Mytilus edulis: one gene and its partner. The protein of the gene in region 1 purifies or fractionates together with the protein of each later gene. This does not show direct contact. Links are inferred from orthologs where the notes say so. Each region holds a gene or a part of one and is shown in the gene's direction. Other genes may lie near its edges.

Region 1 (7,945 bases):
AGCCTGAGAATACACAAATATACAAAAAAAAAAAGACGGTATGCACAAAGAATCATGAGCAACGAAAAAGACTGACAACCTCTTTGCGAAATTTCAAGTCATAATATCCGTATATCAACGGATTAACCACGTGATTTATCACATAAAATCTTTGTAAAATAAAGTAGATTATCATCTCTGTTGTAGAAATATTGTACCAAAGTTTGTGGTTTAATTTACTTATGATTAGAAAAACACAAGTTGGTGTGTAAGAAACGAGATAAAATATAATAATAGTCAAAAACATGCTGTTGAAATTGATTTTGCTTGCGTGCATAGTTTTCTTGCGAGTTATTTCGCCTGTGCTTCCATCGCTTGGTTTGGTTTCCGATATAGATTCAAATTGTGTAGAAGCAATGTCCATGCTTGGTCGTCGTAAATCCTTTAGTTTTATATGTCGATATAGCTGAAGTCCAATAGGGATATAGAGAAATGAAATAGTAAGTATGTTTGCAACCATTAAAAAGAATATAATGTAATAATAAATTGCTTCATAGTCTGGGTATTGCCCAGAGCCAGTAAAACACGTCCATCCGGTAACGTTCAAGCCATTGAATTCTCCTTCGATATATTTGTTTCCAGAAAAGAGTAAAACAGGACACGAATTAACAATAGAAAATATAACGATAACAGCCAGACATATTTTTCGTTTTGCTTCGTCCATTTGTTCTCCTAGCGGCTTACATATTTTCAAATATCTTTGAACAGCAATGGCTATAAGAAGCAATGCCGATAAACTGGAAGTGCTTGTCATTGCAAAAAGAAGACCTTTACAGAGTCCTGTGGATGGAAAATCCACAAAATATATAGATTCCAATACATAAAACACAGATGCAACTGTGCCGGATATTAGATCAAAAACTGCCAAGATCGGAATGAAATAGCGGTCGTCTCGATTTGCTTTCATTCGAAAGAAATATACCATGAGAACAATTATGTTTCCAATAAATCCAAGCAGAAAAATTACACCTTGAAGAAAAACACTCGGAAGTAGTTTGTCGTAATAATCTTGATTCCACTGTAGAGTTAGATTATAATTAGAATCCATGTTCAGAATATTCCAAAGAAAAATCCACAAAATGTTATAAAATACCACTCAGACAGAAAGGAAGGAAATGCCTCATTTCATATAAAATAATGTTGTATAAACTTGGTCATCTGACGTTGGAATTGAAATGTAGGTAGTATTTATAAGTATTGAGTATGTATAAAATGTGAATTTAAATACTTTTCGTCTAAATTGTTAAATCTTGACCATGTAGCGTAAAATTAAAGAAACCTTAGGGTGATTATAACCAGCTACTGCTGTGATTAAAGAGCATTAAATATCATTACTCGACAAAATAACATAATATTCTCATAGTCCTTTCTAGGTTAATAAGCGCAGATAGGTCATTTTGTAGTAATTTGTATTAATAGTTAAGCAGAATGAACTGGCTATCACAAATTGACCTGACATGGAAATCCCTCATAATGAAATTATTACATATATTTATGAGATTTATTAATCCTATATATTTTTCTACCCTGATTAGGTTAAATAGAGATGGTAGATTAAACAGGAAAAGTATGTCCTCTTGACATTTTGGTAAATTAAGATAACTATTGCTACTGTCTATTAGTAAACAGGAAATAATTTACAGCAATGTTAAATTGGAACCAAAGTGCATCTTTAGAAAAAGTATCGGGACAGAAACGAATCAGAACCTATGCGGTATGGGTTTTGTTCAATTTTGAAGGCAGTATGGTGACAATTCTGTCTCTGGTGAAGGAGTTGTCTTATTGTCAATTAAACCACATCTTCTTATCTTTATACTTCATTGTATTTATTGTAACCTTGGCCATCAGATGTGAAAACATGCTTAATTAAACTTTGACTCAATTCAGTCCGTCAGTAGTGGATATCAAATCTTTGGCAGATTTTTGTGTTTGCCTTGTATAGAACTTAATCATTGTTGTTATGGGTATTATAGAGGGTTCCAAGTGTTTCACCTCCATCTTCACGAATTGTCATCAACATTATTCAAACTGTGCACAGTGATTGATCGTTCCACATAGATTGAAAATGTACATACGTAATGAAGGAGCGCTCTGAAAAGTGGAACAGGCAAACTTCTAAAAAGTGACAAGGAAAAAAAAGAGAGTGAAATCCCTTCTATAGTTAAATAGTCAGTCACGTCCCTCTATCATTTTCGGACGCATGAAACTATTAAACGTCTTGTTTTCCATTTTTTACCATGCGGTACGGGCTCCGTTCAAGGTGAGTTGTCACATTGGCAATCATACCACATCTTCTTATTTTTATATATTTATGCATTTTGATTGGTTACAACTATAACAAAGAATAAATTTGTCCACGTAGGATTTTTTGGCACAGGAATATGTTCTTCCAAGAACCCCGATTCAAAACAGGCACAAACACGGTATTGTTCTTGTTTGATATTTTTTGTTCTCGCCCTGTATTTATTTCTGGGCCACTGACTGTTCAGCATACAACAATCAAAATATTATAATAAATAAATATTTAAATCAACACGTACCATTTAGAGCACTTTTTATAATTTTTTTCAGAAATATATATATACTTCAATTCTTTACTAAGTATATATTTTAATTAGAAATTAGAACAGACTTTAACTTTTTTGATGGCGCATTTATTTTAATGATCGAAATGAAAGAGTCTTTACACTTTATAGGACTGGACATCAGAATGAAATATTTTATTAATTTGTATAAGACACGGGCCTGGAGCTATTGAATACCAAGTGTGTATACATCTTTTATCAGAAATTGAATTAATTCACCATGTGATTGTCCATGCAGTAAACGTCTTCATCATTTCCCTCCAGTCATAAGTTGTTTATACTTTATATTTTTATAATACAATGTTTTTAAACCACTATAGCTGTTTGTTCAACTGTTTGTCGCTTCTTATTACTACTATATTATTGAACCTGGTTTTTAGGGGATGAGGAACAGTTTGCTGACTTGTCCTACGACATACACAAAACTAAACCTTGTGGAATTCGGGATTTAGAAGGCATTGTAATTGTGTAAGCACATCGAAAGTACATGTGCATTAGGGTAAATGTATATGTAGAATTTATACTTCTATGAATAAATTATAATCATGAAATCAAGACATAAAGGTATGAAATTCACATAAAAGGGAGTTATTTCGCTTTAAGTTGCAATATATCTTATTGAATTCTTAGACTTAAGAAAAAAACACTTTTAAAAACTTTTCCACAAAAGAGGGTCCCCTTTGCCCCTAACCCCGCCTCTGTATCTGCATCTGTATGGGTTTCGTGTGAGAACCATACGGCATGCAACAATAAAAAAAACTCATATGTTATATTCAACTATAAAAGAATGTTCAGTCTACAGCGGGTCTGATTAACTGAGTAACTGATTTAAAATGGGGTTTTCTTTATTGGTCGGTGCATGGATGCTGGATTTTGGGTTTGTTATCTTTTTTGGTTTATTTGGCTTGTTGGTTTTGAAGGTGACATCACTGGTTATTGAACCTCAAATAATCTGTAGAAAATGTTACTCTCTGTTGTTTCCGTCTGTCTTTTAGTGTTTATCATCAGATCTTTCATTTTTTTGCATCCGCATCACTTGATTGTAGTCATTGTTGATAAATATTGCTGCCTTTCTTCCTTTCTTTCTTTCTTTCTTTCTTTCTTTTTTTCTTTCTTTCTTTCTTTCTTTCTTTCTTTCTTTCTTTCTTTCTAGTTCGTCCTTCTCTTGTAAGCTCAACTTGCCAAATTGATATTTGCAAGCTTTTCCCCATCACATCTGAAACTACTGAGCAAGATTGAACAAACTTGACCACAATCATCCTTATGATATTTCTCTTTAAAAATGTGTCTAATGATTCACGACAACCTGCCAAGGTTATAAAGGGAGATAGGATATAATTGATGTATTGTCTATAAGTTATCTTGTAAACTAATATCGCTTAAGAAAATAAATCCTCGGCATACAGGACACGCATGTTCAGAATGTCAAGATCGGTATAACATTCATTTAGACCAAACTGTCAAGACAACATTTGATAAGGCATTATTGCGCTGAAATGACCATTTTCACCTTCTTTTTTATTTCGAGTTTGACTAGTATCTTCAAAACGATAACAAATAAAGGGGAAATTGTAATCAGGCATAAAAATGATATTTGCATGGCCAAAATCGTCATTTGACCCCCAGGAGAGGTTATATATTTCGCTTAAAAGCAAATTTTTAACCTTTTTTTAAATTTTAACCGAAACTTTAATTAGTAGAATTGAAAGAAACTGCAAAATTGACCAGAATTGTTAGCTGATTTTTTTAAAGGAGTTATTGTCCTTGCTTGATGATGTGTACTCATTTTTAGTATTTTTGTGCATCGCCTTTATCCATGACTGGAACTCTTGTGAATAGCTTTATCAACGGAAATCCTTTCACATCTCTCCTTATTTTTGATAAGCATTTTATCAATTTGATGCAAATTTGACAGGTGAGCTAATCAGGCTTCTTGGAGCCTCTACTTTGTATATGCTCTCATTATCCCTGATTAATCATACTACAGATAAGTATTCGGTTTTTCCCTGCATTTTATGTTACTTTGCACACCAAAACAAAACGGTGAGCCCCGGTAGTATCAGAGACTCTGGTAGTATATACTTTCAGTACACTTTTTTGAATCATCTGTATGAAAACATACTATTAAAAAGCTAACATTACACATCGGACCCTTTAAACATTTTGATTTTACTGGTTAACACAAAACTTAAAGCTTATCCGATTAAAAAAAAATTTAGGATTGAAAGTAAAAAAACGCGAAATAGGATAATAGTAGAGCTTTGCATTCTTATAAATTTGTTATGGTTTTTGAATAAACCATTAAAACAAGCGGTTGTTTGATAAAGATTTAATATGACCAAAAACCAAAAAGAAAAGGTAAATAAATATTATTTGTTGGAAATCATAATTTCAATACCCTTGGTTCTGGTCATCAGACCATTATAGGATTTTATTTGAACAAATATCAACATAAAACATTGCACCAGTAGTATAAAAATGCTTTCTCTTTTTAGTGACAGATAATACCTTTATTCTCAAATTAGAGTCTATCCCTGCTTTCCTGACCTTGAATAATTCATGAATATTCATGAACAATTCATGAATATTCATGAATAATATTCATGAATGTTCATGAATATTCAAGGTAACAGTTCATGAATATTCATGAATATTCATGAATGTTAAATGGCACCTTGAATATACATGAATATTGTTTGAACTGAATAAGCTTGAATATACATGAATATTGTATGAACTGAATAACCAAGAATTAACATGAATAATTATCTATAGAATATTCATGAATATGAAATAGGATGTCTTTGAATAATGCATGATAGAATATTCTAGAATCACCATGAATGAAAAATATATATCTATCCCAATATTGAATGCTAAATACATACTCTAGAATAACCTTGAATGTGAATATTTCATGAATATTGAATGGTTGAATGTTCTAGAATAACCATGAATATTGAATGGATGAATATTCTAGAATAACCTTGAATATTGTCATTTGAATGGTTGAATAATCTAGAATAACCATGAATATTGAATGGTTGAATATTGGAGATTAACCATGAATATTGAAATAAGTGTCCTTGAGAGGTTTTTTGAAAACCAAAAGCAAATACAGACATTTAAGTTTAAAATATTTTTAAATCATGATAGCTGTGAAATATGAATTCGTTGGAAAAATTTGGTTGATCATATAGGGAATCACTGAAGCATGACTGGAGTGCCCCCTCCTTATGAAAAGTTCTGGATCCGCCACTGTATTGATCCAATATCCACCCGTTTGTAGTACATGTATGTATCACATTTTTTTGAAATAGTAAAACACCCATGCAACCATGCATCCCGTATTGCTTGATAAGGTTGGAATTGGGATCCATACTATAAATGGGTGGCTATTGGATCTAAAATTCATGTAGATCAATAAAAGTGACTTTACAGATAAAATTATAAAAATTCATGATTTTAACACAAATTGAAACCTTAAATGTAGACTTTAATGGCCAGGTGGGTAATTCAAACATGTTAAAAGTTAATGATAAGCATACATTGTACATTTGACATGATAATGAGCTAACTTATATCAAAGATCTGTGGGGAAAAAACAAATGAGATCATTCTTATCAGAATGTCATTAAAAAAATCAATGCAAATATTAGTATATTTTGTTTTTTTTCAATATTGGTGCTTTAATTGCCATGCATTATGGATTAAACACATTAATCGTTTATCTGATCATATTCAAATATTTAAATAAATAATAATATTAACATCCTATCCATGAAAAAAATATGGCCTGCATGGTTATGATGACGGAATAAAACCTAAGAATAAAAACATTGACTATGGTCAGCTTAATAAAACCTCACTCAAAAACTGATTTAATAACTATAATATTAAAACTAATGTGTCAGATATAAACTTCTCTTCCTTTCTGTAATTTAAAACTTGCTGTCTCTATACTTCCAACTAGAATTGCTGAATACAGGTGTTAAAATGTTGTCTGCATAAAATCTGTTTCATATAATTGCTGGCAGCTCATATTTAATCCCCTAAAAGTACAAAAATATCCACAAAGAATCAATTGTTCAAGAGGTTATGAAGCAATAAATTCAATAGAAACATTATTGATTTTGCAGATGTATTGTATCTTACATTGGAAGCCTAAACGCAAATTAAGACCCCCCCCCTTTTTTATCCCTTGAAGATTATAGTTTTCACCAAGTTTGTTCACCTAATTTAATTTCTACATTATAAAGTAGAATGTGGTAGTGCATTTTTTTAAAGTTATTGACTCCACATTATTAACCTACAGTTTCTCTTTGTACATGAATGTGACAACACCACATACATTCATTAGGGAGCTACCATTTGATTTTTATGGGGGGGCTAGGATGAAATTTGAAAAAAATAGGCAGGACAGGAATTTTGAGTAAAAAAAAAGGCAGGATGAGACACTTGCAAAAAAAAAAAGTCAGGATGACAATTTAGGTAAAAAAAAGTCAGGATAAACTAAAAAAAAAAAAAGGCAGGACCGAAAAGAGTGAAAAATAAAAAGGCAGGACAGAGATTACAACTAAAAAAAAATGCAGGACACAATTTTTCATCCTAGCCCCCCCATAAAAATCAAATGGTAGCTCCCTTACATTAATTGTCTGTCAAAACTCTCTGGTGTTTTCTGAGATTTTAATCCTAAATGTATTATAATAGTGCCTAAACAAATTGCATTTTATAATTATTATAATTATTATAGGTTAAATTAAAATACTTATCTGAAAACATTTGCGTTGTGATTCTCCATTTTGTTTATCCAGCGTATTTTGATGACGTATGCCAGTCCGTTTCCGTCAATGTGTCAATCTCGCCCCATATATTATCGGCCCGAAGTTGATTCGTCCCCGTAACGGCGTTTCAGTGAAACTTCTCAAAACAGGCCGCCAGTCAGGTCACGCAATTACGGCCGATTTGCAGGGTTTGGTTAGTTGAAATTTAAAATCACGAAGAGTAACTTCCCCTTAATATGGGTGTTTTAGAAATATTTTAAAATGTATTTGTTCTAACTCAAATATACGTTTTTCTTTGTAAATTTTAGTATTGTGAATGAAATCTATCGTAAAATTCAGCTGCAACTAGTATTTCATCTTATTTTTTTAATTTTATTTTGCAGGAATAAAAAATAAAAAATACCATACTTTAATGATTTTCCCCTAATAATTAGGTGAAATGTTCTATTCAATGCTCAGCCATTGCATTTCGCGGTAAATCACTACTTTAGAATTTAGAGATCATAATGACACTAAATTGACAAGATGAACAGTACT
Region 2 (7,021 bases), on another chromosome or scaffold:
ACAAGCTAGTAGACTTAACCTTGAAGAAATACCACATACTAGTACCTGCTATGGGTAGACAAATGCTTCAGCACTATACTATTTCAACAACTTTATAATGAGGCTTACAGTTGCAGACTACACAACAGCGTGGCAGAGACAAGAAGTGGCAATTGTTACAAGATGTACCATATCGATAGTTCTATTCGCAGCAGCAATGGATCTACTAGTAGAATCAGCAGATCAGATGAACAGAGGGTCCGTAATGTCATCTGGGGTCAGTCGGCCACCAACAAGAGTATTTATGGATGGCATGATAAAATAACAGCAAAGTCAGTTCTGGTAGCTAAGTGGATACTGTAAGATTTATGTGAGTTTATAGACTGGGCACGCATGAACTTCAAGCCTTCAAAGTCAAGGAGTCTATTGTTAAAGAAAGAAACGGTACAGGACAGAAAGATCCGAATTGGAGGATACATCATTTCAACTATAATCATAGGTCTGTTCTGTGTTCCTTTGGAATTTCAACCAAAGATGAAGAACTGGATCTTCCATCACTGTATTGGATACCTAAACTACATAAGTGTCCTTACAAACCACGGTATATAGCTGGGTCTTCCAAGTGCTCCACGAAACCTCTTTCTAAATTATTAACATCTATTTTATCAGCAATCAAAGACGGGCTTCAAAGTTATTGTGAATCTGCCTATTCTAGAGGGGTCGTGAATCAAATGTGGATACTTAAAAATTTCAAAGATCTTTTAGAGTACATACAATCTAACTCTATTTCATCTTGTAACAGTATTAAAACATTTGACTTTTCTACTCTTTACACATGTGCAAGTATTCCACATTCCAAACTAACAGATAAATTGAAAGAGTTGGTATTGCTTTGCTTCATAAAAAAGAATGGCCATCGTTGATACAAGTATCTTGTTTTAGGGAGAGACAAATCCTACTTTGTAAAGAATCACTCTGCTTCAAACAAAAAATTCTCTGAAACTGATATTATCAATATGCTTGATTTCTTGATTGACAACAAATTTGTTACGTTCGGAGGACGTGTTTTTCATCAGACTGTCGGCATTCCAATGGGAACAAACTGTGCCCCTCTACTTTCCGACTTGTTTCTTTATTATTATTAGGCTGACTTCATGTAGGAACTTCTTAGGAAGAAAGATAAGAAGTTGGCAACATCCTTTAACTCTACTTTCCGCTATATAGATGATGTTCTCTCACTAAATAATTCCAAATTTGGTGGCTATGTTGGATGTATTTATCCCATCGAACTAGAGATAAAGGATACGACAGATGCAGTTAAGTCGGCCTCATATCTTGACTTTCATCTAGAAATTGACAATGAAGGTCGGTTGAAAACAAAACTTTACGACAAAAGAGATGATTTCAGCTTTCCAATTGTGAACTTTCCATTTCTAAGTAGCAACATTCTAGCAGCACCTGCATACGGGGTTTATACCTACCAATTGATACGATATTCCCGTGCTTGCGTTTCCTATCATGATTTTCTTGATAGAGGGTTGCTGTTCACAAGGAAGCCATTAATCCAAGAGTTCCAAATGGTGAAGTTGAAATCATCCCTTTGTAAATTTTACGGACGCCATCACGAGTTGGTTGACCGTTATGGAATAACCGTTTCACAAATGATATTGGATATGTTCCTTACGTCGTAACTACAATCCCCTTCCCTTTCATGATTGTGACCTACCGAATTAGACTATTTACCGGATTTGTTAACACATAAGCAACATAACGGGTGCCTCATATGGAGCAGGATCTGCTTACCCTTCCGGAGCACATGAGATCACCCTTAGTTTTTAGGTGGGGTTCGTGTTGTTTATTCTTTAGTTTTCTATGTTGTGTAATGTGTGCTGTTGTTTATTTGTCGTTTTCATTTTTAGCCATGGCGTTGTCAGTTTGTTTTAGATTTATGAGTTTGACTGTCCCTTTGGTATCTTTCGTCCCTCTTTTATGGAGAAAACAGTCAAAATATTGGGTAAGTATGAAATATTACCAAGGATCACATGGCCTCTGTTGATGTACGAAGTACCTCTAACCAAAGTTGAAAGTTTAGAAAGGATGTTCAACAACTTACGCAAATGGTTTGGAGTTCCAAAGAGTTTTAGCAGCAATGGTTTGTACAGCACCAGTTCAAAACTTCAACTACCACTGTCTTCTATTAGAGAAGTTTATTAAAGTCACCAAAACCAGACAAGTTATGATGCTAAGATACATTAAAGATGACAAGGTGAAAGACTTAGAGGCAAATGTTGATGTTAGGATAGGAAGGAAATGGGTGACCAAGAGTGCTATAGAAGATGTAGAGAGCCGATTTAGACACAGAGTGACAGAGACATAGTGGGAGTGGTAACATCGGGCGAGGACGACTTGGTGTTGGCTACATTCAGCAACTATTATGGCAAGTGCCGTCAGTATGAAACAAAAAGGGCAACATATGAAATGGGAAGACCAAAAAGATATGTTTGCATGAGATGTGGAGAATGGACGGACAGATGATAAAAGAGGTACGAATGATACTAAAGGGACATTCAAACTCCTAGATCAAAAATAAACTGACAACGCCATGGCTAGAAAGAAAAAGACAAACAGAAAAATGATAGTACAGAAGACACAACATAAATAAGCTTCCTACTAAGATCACTATACGACGTACTACTAACACCCACGCACCTTTCTATGTGGAAACAGATTGAAGATCCTAGTTGTAAAAGAGGGGCGGAAGATACCAAACATTACCAAAGGGAAATTCAAACTAGATCGAAAATAAACTAAGTTGCGCGGTAAGCGAGCAAACTTAGAACATGTTTTCTCGTCCTGTGGGACAACTCTGAAGGATGGTAGATATACATGGCGCCATGATCAAGTCCTTCGAAAGATAGAAGCAGTCTTGGACATACACTCAGGACACACAGAGGAGGAAGAAGATTTAGATAGAGAAGGGGCTTAAGTTCACCAACTTCGTCAAAAGAGGTGGAGAGTCATCTAGAAACACATACGGTATAGCAAAGCCAATGGTATCCTAGCAACAGCAAATGACTGGGAGATGCAATCTGACGTTGGGGAAAGGCCACCTTCCCAAGAGAGATTTTAACAACAACACTCTGACCAGCATGTGCTGTGGTCCAGAATCAACAGACAGGTTATTCATTCTGGTAGAGAAGTGTCACGGGGAACAAGACTGGAAGAATCCCATGAGAGAAAGCTTACGAAGTACCAGGAATTGGTAACAGACGTCCAAGAGAAGAATTGGGGAACATGATATTTTCCAGTAGAAGTAGACTGTAACGTTAGAGACTTTGTTTCAAACGATTTGGAGTGTCTTGGGTCCCTATGAATAACTGGACCAGTAAGAAGGGACCTCATTGGAAATACATGTGACGATGATGTGTGTATCTTATGCATGTCAATAAAATTATAAAAATAATAGATGATTATATGGGTATAATTTGCATAGGCAGTTTATGATGTTAAAAAAGCAGCTTGGGTTTACATATTAGATGAATTTGAATTTGGCAACTTGTTAAAATATCAAAACAATAGTCAATGCTTAAAATCTAAAACATCTCTTTCCTTTCATCTTGATATGATATCTGATTTTACTCAGTATGATAAAAAAAAATTATATCATGATTGAATTTAAAAAAATATTGTGTGCCTTATTTTAAGATATTTGTACTATATTCTAAAATACAATGGATATTATACTGTAAACATTTTATCATAAAAAACAGGATTAAGGACACAGTCACTCGTATCCGAATGTTTTTCCCTATATACCGTTGTATAAAGGTATATAGGAAAATCTTTTCTGAGACGAGTGCACATATAAAGGTATGTAGGAAAATATCGTATATATTTAGTATTGTAATAATTCATGTGCTTGATATTTTATAGAATAAAATATTAAGTATTATTATTAAAGTGAAATAGTTATGTTTTCCGACCGTTCTAATCCTTACTTATTTGAATCTTTTATGAACTTCAGTTATATCTCAAAATAAGACTGGTACCTTAAAATATGATAGACGTAAGGGATTTTAGAAATTATTGTGTCAAAGGAAAACCAGCCGGCGTAAACAAAGAAAATGGCCTCTCGAGCCGTGGGAGCCACGGTCCGAGCAGTAACTAGAACACGAATGTTGCCAACCAGAGCACCAATTGTCATGGTATGTAGTTCAAACTTATGCATTGTGTTCAAATATTTGATAATCTATTAGAAAGTCGTAATTTTTTAAGGTAAGCATGACTGCGTATGAAGGTCATTTCAGACGAAAACAAATTACGCAACACACGTTTGCCATAATGACAATAATATAAACGTTCAGAATATAATATAGTACTATACGGCAGGTCTAACCTGTGGAAGAGAACCGACGAAAAGCTAGTAGCTATTTGATATTAAAAAAATGATATATTATTATTAAACAATTATGCTCATTCTGCTAGCTACGAATACGACGGAGCGTCTTTTTACCACAGAACACCACAGAATACCACAGAATACCACAGAACACTAAAAATATACCACAGAACACTAAAAATATACCACAGAACACAAAAACAAACAACAAAACAACTTAAATATACAACATAACATTAAAATAACTTAAAAAAAATGAATGAACTAATATTAATTAGACGGTAAATCTAAATTTCATCACCGATTGCAAACCACATATCGCTAAACAGCGCATTTTTTTTTCTTTTTTTTGTTTAATTGTATTAATTGTGACCTTAATATATATTATTTCAGTTATTAATGCAACAAATCATATTAAATTAAAGTTTAAAATATCAAATATATCTACATTGAACACGCCGAACAGGAAAGGAAAGTCTATAACATGACAACTTCGCAAACCACCGTCATCAATACCTCATATATATTTTATTCATTTCTTTCTTCTTCTTATATAAAATAGTTATACCAAAAATAAGACAAGAGACAAATATCAAAATCTAACCGACGGAAAGAGATCGAGGACTTTGACTGATTTATTATTATATATATATTTAAATTTTATTTGAAATGCATAAAGTTCCTGTAGTACGATTTTAATCAATTATCATGCAATATCTTTTGAATGGGTCATGTTTTTTACATACTTATATAATTTTATAATTCATTTTTGTTTTGAATAATACTAGTAAAACAAAAGTCTATATTATGGTCATTATTAAGAGTAATTTAACAAACACAACCCCACTAATGAGGTTGTCAAAAATTGAAAAGAACGGATGGCTTCTATAATTCAACCACGCTGTCAAAAGAAATGGAAATTTAAAAGAAGTCCTACATAACTTTTTGTTTTTTTAGCAATGTCCCCAATGAAGTCATTTCACATTTTTGTTCTGTTAGCGACGTCTCAAATCTTGGGTTAGACAATGGAAACGTGAAACCATAAAGTACTGGAATCACAATTTCTTCCTGTAAATGTTATTGGATCATCTTTTACTTCCGATAAAAATAATTGGACAATATTTTATTTCCTGTTAATATCATTGGTCCACTTTTCGATTGGCTCCAAAATTGAAAGATATTGATCAAAGGGTATATATTGATAGAACAAGAAATAATTTCCAAAAATCTTTCTAAATCTATTATAAAGTTTCAAAGTTAATCAGTAAAGTCAAAATGCCAAAACGCAAAATCTCGTACCTAAAAAGGTCGATTTTCTGGCCCTGTGGTGACTGCAGACAGAACTGCTCCAAGAACTCAGTACAGTGTGACTCTTGCATTTCACAAATGATATCGGATATGTTCCGCACGTCGTAACTACAATCCCCTTCCCTTTCATGAATTTGACCTACCGAATTAGACTATTTACCGGATTTGTAATCACATAAGCAACACGACGGGTGCCGCATGTGGAGCAGGATCTGCTTACCCTTCCGGAGCACCTGAGATCACCCCTAGTTTTTGGTGGGGTTCGTGTTGTTTATTCTTTAGTTTTCTATGTTGTGTCATGTGTACTATTGTTTTTCTGTTTGTCTTTTTCATTTTTAGCCATGGCGTTGTCAGTTTGTTTTAGATTTATGAGTTTGACTGTCCCTTTGGTATCTTTCGTCCCTCTTTTGCAATTCATGGTACCACTATGACTGTCAACAGTTATCATTACAAGACATCGATTTCTTGGTAACATCCAGCTGTTCCTCGTTCTGTTGTTTGACCTGTTTGAAAGAAGAAGTAGGGTCTACCTACTCTTATTCATCTGGCTTACTTCGTCTTAATTTGGTAATTTTATGTTTTAATATTAAAAAAAATATTGCATCTTTGCACAATTTTTGTAAACTTTTGTTTCGTACATAAGGCGCTGAATTTCTTAATCTGTTGAATCGGTTAAATCTATTTATTACCTACGCGTGTCAGGCTTTGTTAATTCAAAATGTTTATAGCACATAATTAATTGTTAATTGCGATTTATGATAAGTGATGGATTATCCCATTTAACATATTTATCAACGACGCGTGTCAAGCTTAAAAGTTGTTAATTCATCATTCTTATTAAGTTACGGAATACACAATATGTTTATAAAATTTACAATTTGGTAATTTTATATTTTAAATTTTGACATTGAATTTGTTTTCTATTTATCACCGAGGCGTGGCAGGCTTTATTAATTCAAAATGTATATATATAGCACATTACTAATTGTTAATTGCGATTAATCATGGATTTTCAAATTTAACATATTTTTCAACGACGCGTGTCAAGCTTTGTTAATTCATCTTTCTTATTAAGTTACGGAATACAATATGTTTATAAAATTTACAATTTGGTAATTTTATATTTAAAATTTTGACATAGAATTTGTTTTCTATTGAACACCGAGGTGTGGCATTTATCTATTAATTTATTAATTCAAAATGTATATAGCACATTAGTAATTGTTAATTGCGATTAATCATGGATTATCACATTTAACACGGACCATTTAACATATTTATCAACGACGCGTGTCAAGCTTTGTTAATTCATTTTTCTTATTATGACAAATACAG

The links. The genes of interacting proteins can lie anywhere in the genome.
Region 2: the proteins of AP-4 complex accessory subunit Tepsin-like (region 1) and iron-sulfur cluster assembly 1 homolog, mitochondrial-like purify together in Homo sapiens (co-immunoprecipitation; 3 studies listed by BioGRID and IntAct, with this or other methods). This does not show direct contact. The link is inferred for Mytilus edulis from reciprocal best matches to the Homo sapiens genes TEPSIN and ISCA1.

Annotation. Positions count from the first base shown.
Region 1 is NC_092352.1:20,602,301-20,610,245, forward strand, and holds the start of AP-4 complex accessory subunit Tepsin-like, read left to right. Parts: upstream 1-4,929; 5' UTR 4,930-4,982; intron 4,983-5,033; exon of another isoform or gene 5,034-5,094; intron 5,095-7,945. Other genes in the region: cholecystokinin receptor type A-like, read right to left, coding at 53-1,087. UniProt on the Homo sapiens protein: Associates with the adapter-like complex 4 (AP-4) and may therefore play a role in vesicular trafficking of proteins at the trans-Golgi network.
Region 2 is NC_092344.1:5,590,996-5,598,016, forward strand, and holds the start of iron-sulfur cluster assembly 1 homolog, mitochondrial-like, read left to right. Parts: upstream 1-4,003; 5' UTR 4,004-4,103; coding exon 4,104-4,184; intron 4,185-7,021. UniProt on the Homo sapiens protein: Involved in the maturation of mitochondrial 4Fe-4S proteins functioning late in the iron-sulfur cluster assembly pathway. Probably involved in the binding of an intermediate of Fe/S cluster assembly.